3 linked regions of the Drosophila melanogaster genome follow. The protein of the gene in region 2 interacts with the protein of the main gene of each other region in a pairwise test. Each region holds a gene or a part of one and is shown on either strand. Other genes may lie near its edges.

What was found.
Region 1: the proteins of Met75Cb (region 2) and Phm interact in a two-hybrid assay, tested with the Drosophila melanogaster proteins (one large-scale study listed by BioGRID).
Region 3: the proteins of Met75Cb (region 2) and Prosap interact in a two-hybrid assay, tested with the Drosophila melanogaster proteins (one large-scale study listed by BioGRID).

What each region holds. Positions count from the first base shown.
Region 1 is NT_033778.4:23,984,675-23,990,641, forward strand, and holds Phm (Peptidylglycine-alpha-hydroxylating monooxygenase), read right to left. Parts: upstream 3,782-5,967; 5' UTR 3,629-3,781; coding exon 3,440-3,628; intron 3,002-3,439; coding exon 2,944-3,001; intron 2,881-2,943; coding exon 2,793-2,880; intron 2,736-2,792; coding exon 2,663-2,735; intron 2,635-2,662; exon of another isoform or gene 2,610-2,634; coding exon of another isoform or gene 2,046-2,609; exon of another isoform or gene 1,941-2,045; intron 1,721-1,940; coding exon 1,588-1,720; intron 1,535-1,587; coding exon 1,486-1,534; intron 1,428-1,485; coding exon 1,089-1,427; intron 1,022-1,088; coding exon 853-1,021; 3' UTR 501-852; downstream 1-500. Other genes in the region: Sox14 (Sox box protein 14), read left to right, coding at 1-345; CG30178 (uncharacterized protein), read left to right, coding at 2,046-2,609; Pask (PAS kinase), read left to right, coding at 4,157-4,244, 4,313-5,967. UniProt on the Drosophila melanogaster protein: Monooxygenase that catalyzes an essential reaction in C-terminal alpha-amidation of peptides. Produces an unstable peptidyl(2-hydroxyglycine) intermediate.
Region 2 is NT_037436.4:18,468,576-18,471,819, forward strand, and holds Met75Cb (Met75Cb), read right to left. Parts: upstream 1,044-3,244; 5' UTR 1,024-1,043; coding exon 868-1,023; 3' UTR 803-867; downstream 1-802.
Region 3 is NT_033778.4:14,137,903-14,142,846, forward strand, and holds the start of Prosap (prosap), read right to left. Parts: upstream 3,001-4,944; 5' UTR 1,887-3,000; intron 1-1,886.

The DNA.
Region 1 (5,967 bases), on a different chromosome or scaffold from region 2:
CCGGACGCTGGGCACACCACATTCCAGGCCGACGACTTCAACGCGATCCCGTCGGCCGCCGAGGACAGCGAATGCAGCATTCTGACCACCTCCAACTCGCCGCAGATTGGCTTCAACGGGAGCAGCTTCGTGGAGGCGGACGCCATCGGGAGCACTTGTACATACGCGCAACAAGACTACACCGGAAGTGTAATTGAAACACACAATGATCTCAACTACGCCGCACACGATAACAACGGAGCTCTGCTAGCCTACACATTTGAGGACTTGCCGCCTCAGCCAACCGGTAGTCATTTAGAGTTTAACACTAACAAATACGAGTTTGCAAGTTATTATAAAATGTGAGAGATATTTAAGTTTGTGTAATTTATAACTAATCTAATTGTACGTTTATAATTTTACACCAAATTATATATTAAATATGTATATGTATGCAGATAATACCATATATTCCATAAATTCTATATACATACAAAAAACGCGAGAATAAATGCTTTGCATTGAAAATATTTACGTCGGAGCAGTCTCATTTACTGCGTAGTGGAATGATCGCTGATCGCTGGTTCCTGCTATGCGCGACGAATGGGAAGGAGATTAACCTTGCGGCGATCAGCTAAGTGCTCCCAAATCCATTCAATAGGATCTCCAGCGGCTCTCGCGAATTATCTACATATGTTTATTTACACGTTACACAAATATGTTATATAAATCATTGGTGGCCAACAAAAGGGGATACAGAATGAGGCTAAACCATCATTAGTTGTTGCACACGATAAAATAATCCAGACAGTAAGGTAGTATACATTCGTTTCTCTTTCCGCGGCCGATTTCCTGGCTCTCGACGAGCGCTGATTACAAGGTGCTCGCCTCGATATGTGGGATATTGTGTAGGCCGGAGTCGGGATTGGACCAGAAGTAGTAGGGGGCGCCCTGGCTGAAGCAGAACTTCATGTTTAGTGTCTCCCCGTGATCCACGTAGTACATGAGATAGAAGTTGCACATCTCGTCCTCGTTCGTGGGACTGTCATCAATAAATAGTTGGATTAGGAGTGGTGCTAGAGCTGCGTTTCAAATCACTGCGTACTTACCCTATTTTGGTAGTCCGATGGCGAGTGCTCTGCATAGTACACCTCACGGCGATCTTATCTCCCTCGATTATGGGGTCTGTGTTGCTGGTGTTATAGAACATCTGGGGCGTGAGGGGATCTCTCTTGCCCAGCTGCAGCCACTCCTGTTCGCCGTCGCTGTTTGTCCTCACCCGGTAGCCGGAAACGACCTTTCCCAGGCCGTGGGTGTGCACCCGGTACGCAAAAGGATGCAGCACCTTCTGCTCGTTCACCTCGCAGGCCGTTTCCAGGTGCTCCGTCTTCATCGCCGGAATCTGTCCGTCAGTGCCCAGCAGCAGAGTGCCAGCCAGCTTTTTCCGACTGCCAGGATGGTACTGATTATTTTGAAAATCACGCATATTAAACGAAAGGAACTTACGGCTCTTCTGTGTAATCCAAAAACACACCAGAATCATCAGTGGAGCCATCTGAAGAAAAACACATTTAAATTTCCTTATATTGAACGCAATCTATTACTTACCTTTGAACTTATCAATGTGCGCGTAGTGAACTTGCAGCACAAGGTACTTGATTGGCGAGTTCTTGCCCACCTTGAAACCCACTCCCTCGGGCAGATTTAACTTTTGGGCGTCTCTGGCCCAAGCGTATACGATCTGTTGAGAGGTAAGTGTTAGTCCAGTAGGTGAAATTGTCTATTAGCACATTTGGCAGTTAGTTAAAGGAAAAACTCGATAAACAGGTTCAAAACTCTTATTAAACTGTGCTGACTGTCAAGGATTGACCTATTAAAACTTAGCCAGTTAACTCCTAATTATCCGCGCATTTCGATCTTTATTCATATGCCACATCAATCGTTTTGAAATGTTACTATATATGAGTTCGATTTTTGTGTCAAGAACAAGACAAAATTTGACTTTAAAACTATCTTTCCGATTTTTCCTTAAAATTTATAATTTGTCTATCAGAAAGCTGCCTAGTATGTCCGCTTCAATTTGCTGCAGATGCAACGAGAAGATTTGGCCACGGGCAGTTTGCAGCTTGGGTAAGACGTACCATCCGCACCACTTCACCTGCAAGGAGTGCGGCCTGGTGGTTGATCCTAAACTGTTTTTCGCGGTGGACGACGACGTGGTCTGCAGCGAGTGCTATCTGGACAAGCATGCCGCTCGGTGCTCCGCCTGCCGGACTCCGATCCTAGAGCGCGGCGTGGCTGCTGCGGAGCGCAAGTGGCACGAAAAGTGTTTCCGGTGCGTGAGCTGCAGCAAGTCGCTGGTCTCGGCGAGCTTCTTTGAAGTCAACGGATACCTGTTCTGCAAGGCGCACTTCCGGGAACTGTTTTCGTCCCGCTGCGCAGGCTGTGAGAAGCCAATCGATCGTCGAGCCGTGGTCGCGCTGAGCACCAAGTGGCATGCCAAGTGCTTTAAGTGCCACCACTGCCGCAAAAGGATCAGCGCACGGGAATTCTGGATCGAGAACGGTCAACCCATTTGCGCAGCCTGCCAAACTGTAGTCCCGAGTCCCCGAAATTTGTCGGCCCAATAAATGTGTGGTGTCTATCTGGGGGCCTATTTGGACATTTCTTTTTCTTTTAATACCTGGGAATTGGAGTGGGGTCCGCAAGGACTGGCAGACTCTTCTTGGGAAGCTCGGTTCATCTCGCCACAGTTCCTGTGAGCAAAAATGTGCGTGTTATTTACTAGTCTGAAAACATCACTTGCAACTCACCAGGTGGTCTTCGAGGTTCCGGGCTCTCCGCATCCGTAGAGCAGCATATGGTGGGCCGTGTTCATCGTGGCATTAGGATTGAAGCCAACTATTTAAGATAGAAAGGTTAGTTGAAGTATTTAAGGAATGAATCTCATTCGAAAGGACGTACCAATATAGTAGGTGGTAGTTGGGTCGACCTTGATGGGCGTGCACAAGTACAGATCGGGCTATATATGTACACATATATATATTTGTTAGTTTTGTTAGAGAGAACAGGCATATTGGATAAGTCAACAAGTATTATTCAAATGGGAGTATGGCCTTCAGTGGGCCGTTTGCCCTTTTTCGCCACCCTCGTAAAAACAAATTCGTATCTACGGCGCAGGTTCGAGAAGTGCAATCTACAGGTTTCGGTTTCAGGGCCTTACATGTGGGTGGCGAATTGTGTGTATTCGGGTACAACTGAACATATGGAAAAATTTGCACAGTACTCTTATGGGTTTTCCCCGCGCGGAAGATACGGGAAAAACCAGAGCCTATATCGAGGACTTTTCTAATCTGATTGGAATTGTATGCGCACAGCTGCAGCTGGGCGAATCTGTTCATCCATATGGAGCGAACTCCATGATGTATATGTATGGCGTTTTTCAGGAACCTGGACTTACGGTCTGGGGCGAAACGTTGGGCATCAGGAATGGAAACGAAGCCGTTGCGCCTGTTGCGGAGTTCGACTCGAGATTCTGTTGATAAAGGGAGTTTTGGTAATCCCCCTCTTTCACAAGGCCATCCACACTGATCACTCCGATAAGCAGGAGCAGCCCCACGGAAGCGGCTATTTCGGATATGCGTGGCATTTTCACCGTATTCGAACTATATTCGAGTGTGCACTGCACTGAATACTTTGTGGAAAACGAAAAAAAACCTTCCTGTTTGGAAGAACAATACGTTTTGTATTGCTCTCTCCGATATTTTTCCACACGTAGCTAGGCCCAGTTTATATGTAAGTAAGTGCGTTCTAGGCAGCAATCGATACCCAGAGCCATTATATCGATGACGGCGCCAGGGCTGCAGGCTAAGGGTTAGCGGGACATTCAAATATATATAACTTGTTCGCATTAAAGTACATAAAACCAAGTGTAATTTTCAACCTTTCGAATACAGTGATTTAAAGACACCTCAACGCAAAAGGAAACCCCACAAAAGCCAGCCCAATTCAACGTGTCTGCGTTCCGTTCGACCCACTGGGGAATTCCCCTTTTCGCATGCGCCATTCAATTGATTTTCTACGAGCAGAGTTCCCAATGTTTACGGTGCGCTCATTTGGTTGTAGCTGTAGGCCTCGAGTTGGAACCGCTGGGACTTGGAAAACATACGACGCTTAAATGGAGGATCAGGGCGACGTGACAGACCAAGCCGCTGGTAAGCTGAGTAGTTCGAATGCCCAGTGCTCCAGAAACCGATGTGCTAATGGTAAAGCTATATAGATGTACACTCAAGAGCGGTACTAAATTATTTACAAAAAATCGTGTAATTCCCAGATGACCCCATTATGGGCAGCCACAGTCAGAGTCGCCAGAACTCGTCCGGCATGCTGAACATGATGGACGCCAGCTCCTTCAGCATGCCCCCCCCCAATCTGCACTCCTCAAAGGTGATCAACCCGAACAAGGCGATATTCACAATCGACGCGAACACAGGGCAAATTTTTATAGTGAACAACAAGGCCTGCCAGCTGCTGGGCTACACGTCGCAGGAGTTGAGGAACAAGGGATTCTTCGACCTGCTTAACGGCAAGACAGAGAGCCACATCTCCTCCCTGGCGGAGATGCAGATCGAAGGCGATGAGGGCCGGGTCGTCCTGCTAAGTGGAAAGGTCATCGAGATGAAGACCAAGTCGGGCGGCAAGATCCTGGTCTCTCTCTGGATCCGGCAGATCAGCAGCGATGGCCGACACATAGCCGTCGCGGAGCCTGTGGAGAGGCATATTTGCCACATCAGCACCGATAGATCCGGAGTGATAACATCCGTTGACTCCACCACGGCCACCATATTCTTTTATGAATCCGTCGAAAGCGTGGTGGGTGTCAGCATTGTCACCCTTATCCCGTTTATAAAGCTGCCCGATCCGGATAGCCGTGAGATCCCCAAGAGCCTGCGGAAGCAGAGAGCTACTGGTCGAACTACGGATAACGTAAAGTTTCCCCTGTGCTTGCTAATAGCCCTGGACGAGGATGCTTCTGCGGGGTATTCCCATTCGGGAAAAACCGGTCTAAATATCACCGTCTGGGTGTTCCAGAATCTTAGTGGCCTGATTGTGGTAGATGACATAGGCAACATACTGATGTGCAACCAGCCTTTCTCGCTGCTAATGTTCGGATATGGTCAGGACAAGATAATGAACATGCATATATCGGCGATCCTACCCAATTTCGGCAAGGACTCTCGCGAGGAGAAGAGTCCGAATGTTTCGAACACCTCGATAACCAGTAACGACTGGGAGCCGGACACGGATCCCCTCGTCGTGGACAACGACTCCTCGCTGCAATCCTGCAAGAAGAGCTCGACTAACAGGACGGCGCCCAACAACGAACAGTCTTCGGTGGGCGATGCCCACCTAAGCTGCAATCTGGAGAACAGCAGTGGTCTATTCTGCGACCTCCGCCAGCCAGATGATTGTACAATAGATGACATTCTAACACCTGTAAATGCCTCAAACAGTTTCCCCGCTGACGAGTTTGAGGTAGGATCGCAGTCGCAGGTGAATGAGTCGTCCCTTGACAAGGCGAAGTCCGCGTCCACGGAGACCTGTGATGCCTCCGGCAGCAATCCCGCCACCAGACTGCTTAGTTCCATCAACGGAAGCTTTGTGGGGGAGGCCATTCACGCCGATGGCTCCGTCATAGAGGTAGTCTACTCCGTGCTCCTCCAGATACTGCCCTGCTCCAACCGGGTGTACTGCATCTGGGTGTGCCGCAACCCCAGCACTCGGCTGGACGGTGAGAAGTACAACTATGCAAACCTAACGTCCACATTCAACAGCATGGCCAGCACTGTTGAGCAGTCGCTGGGCCAGGTGATAAAGACCACCGCTGCCCAGAACTCCAGCAGACCCAATTCTCTGTCCTTGGTGTCCAAGTACGAGGACGAATTGTACCTGGGCGACTACAGCAAATACTACACGTCCATCCGCCAG
Region 2 (3,244 bases):
AAATATGGGCTACTGAATTAAACGTAAAAGCGTAACAAATAATAAAGCAGGAAAATTTCATTCAGTCAGTAAATATAATTTTTATGCCAGCGGCACACGGAAAAAACGTTTTATTCGCTGTCCAAAGATTCCCCGCAGATAATAGTAAATATTTGAAATTAAATCTGTGTTTGTCGGCCAGTTAACCAATTGAGTGCAATCCAGAGCCCGCATTAAAATGCAATAAATCTGCCTCGAGCAGGCTTTAACTTTCCCGATGAGAGGCCCCATCAGGCTGTCTTTTCCGGGCTCGAGTTCTCAGTTGCGAGCACAGGACCCCCTCTCACAGGCAGGAGCCAGTGGAATCCTGCACATGTTTACATGACGTTGGCCTGACTGCAGTCGCGGCTGCATGCAAAATTAATAAGCCATAACAAGTTGGTTTATGATGCGGCTTCCTGGGACTGGGAAACCGTTCTTCTTAGGGGCGAATTAATTAGCGAAGCAGTGAAAGGAAGGGGCATAAAGTTGTGCATTCAAGAAAGCTCTTCCACGTCCTTGCCAACACATCCTCGGAGTCATGGTGTGGATGAGGTAGCTGCTGAAGGTCGTTCAAATAATGGCCCATTGAGCTTACCAATTCATTCATAATAAGAAATCTAGTTATTTTCTTAACCTAAATCGATGGTTCTGAACAGTAAGAAGTATTGTAAATGATCTTCTTCTTAAGCATCTCCCAAAAGGATAGAATTACCATTAATGTAATGTCCACTCTTTTTATGCTGCACCCTCTTTTCCCATTTAACTTAAACATCGCGTATTTATTTCTGGTACATTTAGTACCTTAACGTTTTATTTCTTTAGGCATAGGACACTTTGGAAAGGTTCCTAGAATGGCAGGCAAGTGTGCCGGGCGTAATTGTAGTAGGCGTGGGGACCACAAGCCTTGTCCTCCGAGGTTTCCTGGCGTGTTGCTATCTGTGCATCCACAGAGCTGAGGGCCAGGCCCAGGAAGACTAGCAAGAAACCATTGAATACGTTCATCTTGTCGAGTAGTGCTGAATGATCGGCTGTGGCAGGTAGTGAGCTATTTATACCCGACTACACGTTGCAATTAATATGGATGCTACGTGATACGGCGTTAAGCTTGCCATTTAAGTTTTTCCGGCATTTAAATCCCATCACTTACGTAAGCTGTTCGCTCTAGTTTAACATTTCTCCGATGACCCTCTCTGTTGCGATGGCTCACTTGGCGTATGCTTGATGGCAAATTGGATGCCATCAATGCTTGCCCGAGTTTGCAGGCGCACATGAATCGTATGTTTGTTCTGGCTTCTTTCGGCACAGTACTTAACTTTGACGCGATTATAAGTCGCATACAGCGACAAACGTCCAGTTCATGTAATCGAGCGAGTTGGATACGCTGAGACAAGGCAGCATGTCTTTACTTCAATATTACGATGAAGTCGGCAAAAACTTACATTGTTGACTAATAAAGTCAAAGGGCCTCTGTGAAAACTTCCGCGAAGATGCACATTGTGTGTTGGTTTCGGGACTCAAGCGTAGTCTCACAGATGTGCTGTTCTCAGCTGTTCTTGCCGTCAACTCTGGCGCTGGCGCAAGAGGTGGAATAGTACCATGAAAGATATGCGTATGCTGCCAGCTTTGTGAGGAGCATGGTGGAAAAAGAATACTAGGCAAGTGCCCATCAGCGGGTCAAGCCACCCCAACAAGCAGAAGCGGATCAAAGAACCCGCCTTTTGGTTGGCAGTAGACATAATCGTCCCAAGGGGCGTAAACGCTTTCCATTGCGATTTTCGCACGCTCGCAAAGGTACAGGATGAGATATCCCGGAGGTTCCCAGCCACACAGTTCTGGCATTGCAGGAACCGCGTTGTGGACGTTCTCAGATTCGAAGAAAGAAGGGAAATCTTAACTGCTGAACACAATAGTGCATACAGAGCAGAGCAAGAAAAAGTAAAGCAGGTATTGTCGGAATACTATTTCCCCAAAATATCCAAGCTGGCCAATGAGATCGTGCAGAACTGCAGGACTTGTGCGAGGGCCAAGTAAGATAGGCACCCAATGAAGCAAGAATTCGGTGAAACGCCAATACTGTCACACAATACTGTCTTGCACAAAGACATTTTTTTTTATGCTGACAACAAGTTATTCCTCACTTGCGTCGAGAAGTTTTCTTAATTTGCCATCGTACAACCTACCGCCTCGAGAACTATTAAAGACCATGTATTGCGACAACGAACCGTCGCTGAAGTCGCACACGATCGTGTCCATGCTTTGCAACAACTTTGGTGTAAGCATTACAAATGCATCACCACTAAACAGTACCTCCAACGGACAGGTGGAGCGTTTTCACATTGCTGGAGCTAGCCAGGTGCATAAGGATAGACAAGGGCATAAGTGATACGGTCGATATAGTAATGTTGGCCACTATCCAATATAATAATAGGTCGATTCACTCGGTCATCAAAAGGAGATCGGCTGACATCGTCCTAACGCAACCTGATGAGCCACACGTAGATTTCCACAATAGGATCCAGAAAGCTGAAAGGGATAGAGAAAACGCCTCGCCGCAGAATAGGGTATTCGATGTTAGCGAAAAGGTGTAGGTAAAATCCAACCGAAGACTCGGCAACAAGCTCATGTGCGAGGAAAGAGCTGTAGAAGCGGACATGGGGACCACGATCCTTATTGAGGAGAGGGTAGTCAAGGACAACAAGGACAACATACAACTCACTTACTTGTTTAATCACTTGTACTTTCCACATCGAAGGAAATTCAACACACTCTTTTCACCGACTGTGTCCTCAAGCTGTAACTCAATCTGCTTTAGCAAATTAGCAACAATTTTAATGATTGAGGTGTAGTAAATAAACAGGTAGTTTAGCTTTGCATCGATTTCATTACATTACAAATGGGATTTGCAAAGTTAGTTTGGCAAATAACTCATTTAACTAAGATCCAATTTACACTGACTTGGCTTAATTTGTTTTAGTGTTTTGAGTTAGCTAAAATTAATTAAGACACTTTAGAAAATGTATAATATGTGTCTCAATAATAATAACTGTTGAAAAGTTGTATCAATGAGCTTTGTAAATAATTTCCTTTAGCCTCAGTTTTTCCAATAATACCTTTTTCTAAGAATCATTTATAAGAGTCGTTGGCCTGACTGCAGTCGCCATTACAAGTTGGTTTATGATGCAGCTTCCTGGGACTGGGAAACCGTTCTTCTTAGGGGTGAATT
Region 3 (4,944 bases), on a different chromosome or scaffold from region 2:
CCTGGGCCTTTTGGAGTTTGCCCATAAAAGTCGAATTTCTCGACTTGGAGCGTTTCGTATGAATCAAATGCTTGAAATTTATGCAAATTGGGCGAAATGTTGGTCAAAATGTTGAGCAAAAATGTCACTCTTTGCAGGCCACGAGGAGTTCAGATTTCTTTTGATTTATCACTGCAAATTGTCAAATCTTTTAATGAATATAACACAAAGTAAGGAAATTAAGTAAGATCACGCAAACAGTTAACAGTGAGAGCTGCAAGTATTCGGTTCGAGTAGGGAAGCATGAGATCACGTCTTAAATTCAACGTGACACTAAAACATTCAGAATATTTACATTTTGAAATTATTCTGACTGATAAATGAGCATGAGCAAATTTTGGAGCATTAATATTTATATTATTTTGGCATTAACTAGTAGTATAAATATTTCAATGTAAATTTATACGTTTTCCAAGAAAAAATTATATGGGAATGCTCTACAAATAAATTATATTAAATGCACTGTATATTCTTCTGATTTGTATATGATTTTTAAAGCTCTTCTGAAAACCTTTATATTTATGTTTATTTTCTGGGTAACGATTATATCTCAACACAACTGTAGGCGCAGCACAAGATATCTGATCTTTTGGAACAATTAAGCCGCATCCACATTAAGTAACCGAGACAAAAAGCAGCCGCTGACCCAACTCTTGGATCTCAGATAGTTCTCCCCTCGCTGATCTACGTGATATATGTAGGTACATATAAACATATATATAAACATATATGTACATATATCTTTGCCCCTTTCATGCCGCCTGCAAATCAACGAAAAAGTTTAAAACAAACCGTGTTACGTGCCACAAGCGAACAACTATCAGATAAAACATGATCATAACAGCACATATAAAATTTTAACTATTTTCATGGCGGGCCAGTCTGAAATTTTATTGTTACGCTTGTGTAACAACAACAACAATAGCTGCAGCAGCAACAAATACAACCAAAAAGCAATAGGCCACAACAAGAACCAGTCACGTTATGAACAAATGAGTAAAGTTGAACAAAAACAACCAAGATAACTGCAATTGGTGGGACAAAAAGGGGGAAGCAGCCAGCCCCTCCAAAACAAAAAAAAAGGGAAGCGTGCAATTTCCAAATCACTCGCACAGAAAACGAAATTTATGAATGCCTCTTCAAGAGCAGAACCCCTCGAGTGAAGGTCAATATAACGGTGGGCCCATAAAAAGGTGCGATTAAAGAAAGAGTCAGCCAAATGGTAAACGTGCTGCCAGTCCGAATTTATTTCGAATGAGTGTGTGCAACTCGAAGAAGGCGGTAACTGCCATAGAACAGAAGTAACAGTCATTTAAGTTGCAGAAAAGCTGCTTCATAATAACTGTCGTAGGTCTTAACGATTTTCTTGAAATCATCAGTTGCAGTGACAAATGCAATAATTCAATATAATAGTTACAGATAGTGATGTCACCTTTTTATTGTTACATTTATCTAAAGCACAAATACCTTTACATTTCTATACGATATTTTAATACATTTTTAACTTTTTTTCTTACAGTGGTTAAAATCCTTTTGAAATTAGATTTTCATTGAAGAGTTTCGTGCCTTATATAATGCAAGGGTAACGCACCTCAATAAATGACCGTTTTCACAACCTGCTGACCATGACCATGATAGTCTGAGGAGGGGGGTCCAATTAACGGTGATCAAGGGTAAGGGTTAACTGCTAGCCCGACTTTGGTGCTACCAATTTGCGAGGGTGTCCATGGGTGAAGGTCAAATGGGGGACTATTAAAAGGTGTTTGCTGCTCAACACCACTTTGGCACTCGAGGGTTTTTACTTTAATTTAGTTAATTTTCCGGCCAATCAATCGCTGTGTACTGACCTTTTTTCCGTTGGCTGCAGTTTTCCGAAATTCGTTTAGTTTCGGCGCAATTTGTTTACTTTTGCAGTTTATCGTTGTGTGTTGTTGTTTTCTCCGGGAGTTTTTCGTTCAGTTTTCTTTCTCTTTTTTTTGGGTTGGGTAATTTTGGGGCCGAAAAAGGACGAGTTCTATATCGGGATTGCTCTTCCTCGCTCTCCTTCTCACACTCTCTCTCTCTCTCTTCCTTTTCGCTCCTTGCGCGCGCGCTCTCGCAAATTGATTTTCACTTTTGGCGATTGTCAAAAAGACGGCAACAGAAAAATAATAATAAAACGAACGGCGCAGGAATTTTCACTTGTGCCACTTTTTGCGGCCTCCGTTTATTTCACAGATATTACTCTTTTTTGTACTTTTTCACCTTTTATATTTTGTGTGTTTGCAGGGAAACGGGTTTACGTGGATTTTTTTTTTTCGGTTTTGGGGAAACAAGAAATTCCTACTGCGTTTTTTCCTCTCTTTTTCGTTTTCCTTACGTACGCCTTTTTCCTACCGACTTGTGCGTTTTTCTCCTTTGCCGAGAGGCTCACACACACTGGCAGACTCCCACACACAGACGCGCACGCACACACACAAACACATACGCACCGGCCAAACAACAAAAATTCTTTCGCTGTCTTTGATTTTTGTTTCTTTTCGTTTTTGGCTTTGATTTCTGCTGCTGCAGAGGCGAACCGGTTTTTGTTTTTATTATTTGTATTTTTCTACTTGTTTTTGCACTTCACATCGATCGGTTTCTCGTATCGGTTGATTCGTTAGCTGCAGTTGGCAGTTTAAAATTCTAATAATCACGGCGATTATTTTCAATTTTTATTTGGTCGAATTCGGTGCACCGTTATTTTGCACGCAGCCACCGTCGACTGTCTCGCTCCTTCTCGCTCGCACTCCTCTTGAGCCTGGACGAAAAAATCGCGCACAAAATCGTTTTGTGAAAATTATTCGAAAATTCGTTAGTATCAATATTGGTTTTTTCCCCGGCGACTTTAACGGTTACCGATGTGCTTTAAGCATTATTTTTTTAACAGATCACGCGAACACACATGCTGCACGAATCGCGGTTGAAAAAGCAATAACAAAAATCGTTGGAGAGCGCACTAGAGATGGCAAATGTTCGATTACAGGCCGATAACGTTGGGCTTACAGCTCTAGTTGGAGAGAGCGAGTTCGAATTCGATAAAAGAGCGGCTTCTGTTAACCGGTTGTGCCGTGAGGTTTGAGGCAGCACTTAGTTCTGATTGGAGTTCTGTATGACGGATTGCGCCCTGGCTAGAAAAATGTTCTACGAATTTAAAAATTGCAAATGCAATCAATGTTTATTATTTTACTTTAGTTTTTTATTCTGCGCTATGCCTCTTGATATCAATAGCTGCATCAGTACTGAAATAAAACACGATATTTAAAACTTTAACATTTAATTAAAATGTTCATTGACATTCCAAATTAGACATTCTAATCAGAACATAGCGCAGACTCCAACACGAAATGCTAACATGTAGTTCGAAGTCGACCGTTAACCGCTCTTCGAAATTTATTGCGCCGGATGTTGGGGCTATTTGCTTCTCTTAACAGCAGGCTAACATTTTCGGCGAACATTCGAGTTTTTTGCTGGCTGCTTTCGTCATTAGTTGGAAAACATCAAAAGCGTAGGAAAATCAAACGCCTCCGCAGAACTCCTCCCCCTTCAATTTCCCCTCGAGCACCTTGACTATTTTCTTGCACAAGTTCTGGGTCACTTGGGTATTTTTCCAGCATTTCTTAAGGTTTTTTCGCCGATTTCTTTTGGCTCTTCTGGCGCTCGAATCGTTTTTCATTTTCCTGACCCAAAGTGGGTGGTTGGGAGGTAGTGTGGGGGGCCACGTGTGGCTAATCCATAGCCTCTGTTGCTGTTGTTGTTGTTGCTTCGGGGAGCGACAGCTTTTCTTTGCCGGTCCATTGTTCCCAATTTCCTCGTTTGCTGTTTTTGTTATCCAAGGCTTATTTCCAAAGGCGCCTTAAGTTGTGGTTTTGTTTTTATTGCAAAAAACCTGAAAGTCCAAGTGTTTTTTTGCCCACTTTTATTGGTCCACAACGATTTGAAACTTGCTAATTGGCTACTTAAAAAATGCAAGTTATGACCATTTTAAGATACATCAAATAAACTTGTACCTAAATGTACAATTTTTTTACATAAATCATAAGATAAATTCCTAAATTGTACCTAAATGTACAGTTTTTTTACATAAATCATTACATCAATTCGTTGTTTTCGAACCTAAACACATTGTTTCGTATTACATTTGTCTAAGTCTACAAATAAGATAATATCTCGACTTTACCCAAATTTTTTTGTAATATTTGAAATCCTTTCCAGAAATAATCTCACATATGAAGTTTATGTAATTTCACCCCGTTTTAAACTCAAAACCATCACTCATTTGGCTTTCCTCGATATACCCAATTGACTTGATTTATGCAAAACTCCTCCGCTTTGCGAAAAACGAACATTTTCAATCATAAACGTGAGCCAAAAATGATGACGACCCCAGAGGTCAGTTTTAGTGCCAGTTCTCCTATTATGAAGAGAAGCAGGAGGTTTCGCATGGAAAATTAGGCAGTCGAAAAATGCAATTTCACTGATGCTACCGAGTTTTTCCTGTAATATCAACGTGCTCTTGCATTACGCGATAAATTCCACTTTTTTACCAATTTTCTTGCATTTTTATACGGGTGATTTTACACGAAATTAAAATAAAATAAAGAATTGATTTAGGAAATCCTGTCAAATTCAATGAGTTCTTTATGGATCCACAATTTGTTAAAACCCGCCCAGTTTTCCATTTTCATTTTTAGGTGCGTGCCAGCTTTACAGTTTGAGAGCCACATGCTGACATAGTTATTAGATGTTTCCAGTCAGTTGGGATTTATGAGCCATCTATTCCGATGCAACGTGTGCTTCTGGTGCAACATGCAGTATGCACGACACGCCCCCCACACCTCTTCTCCCCGCCCACCGCTTTCATAACCCGCACTGAAAAATGCTTTA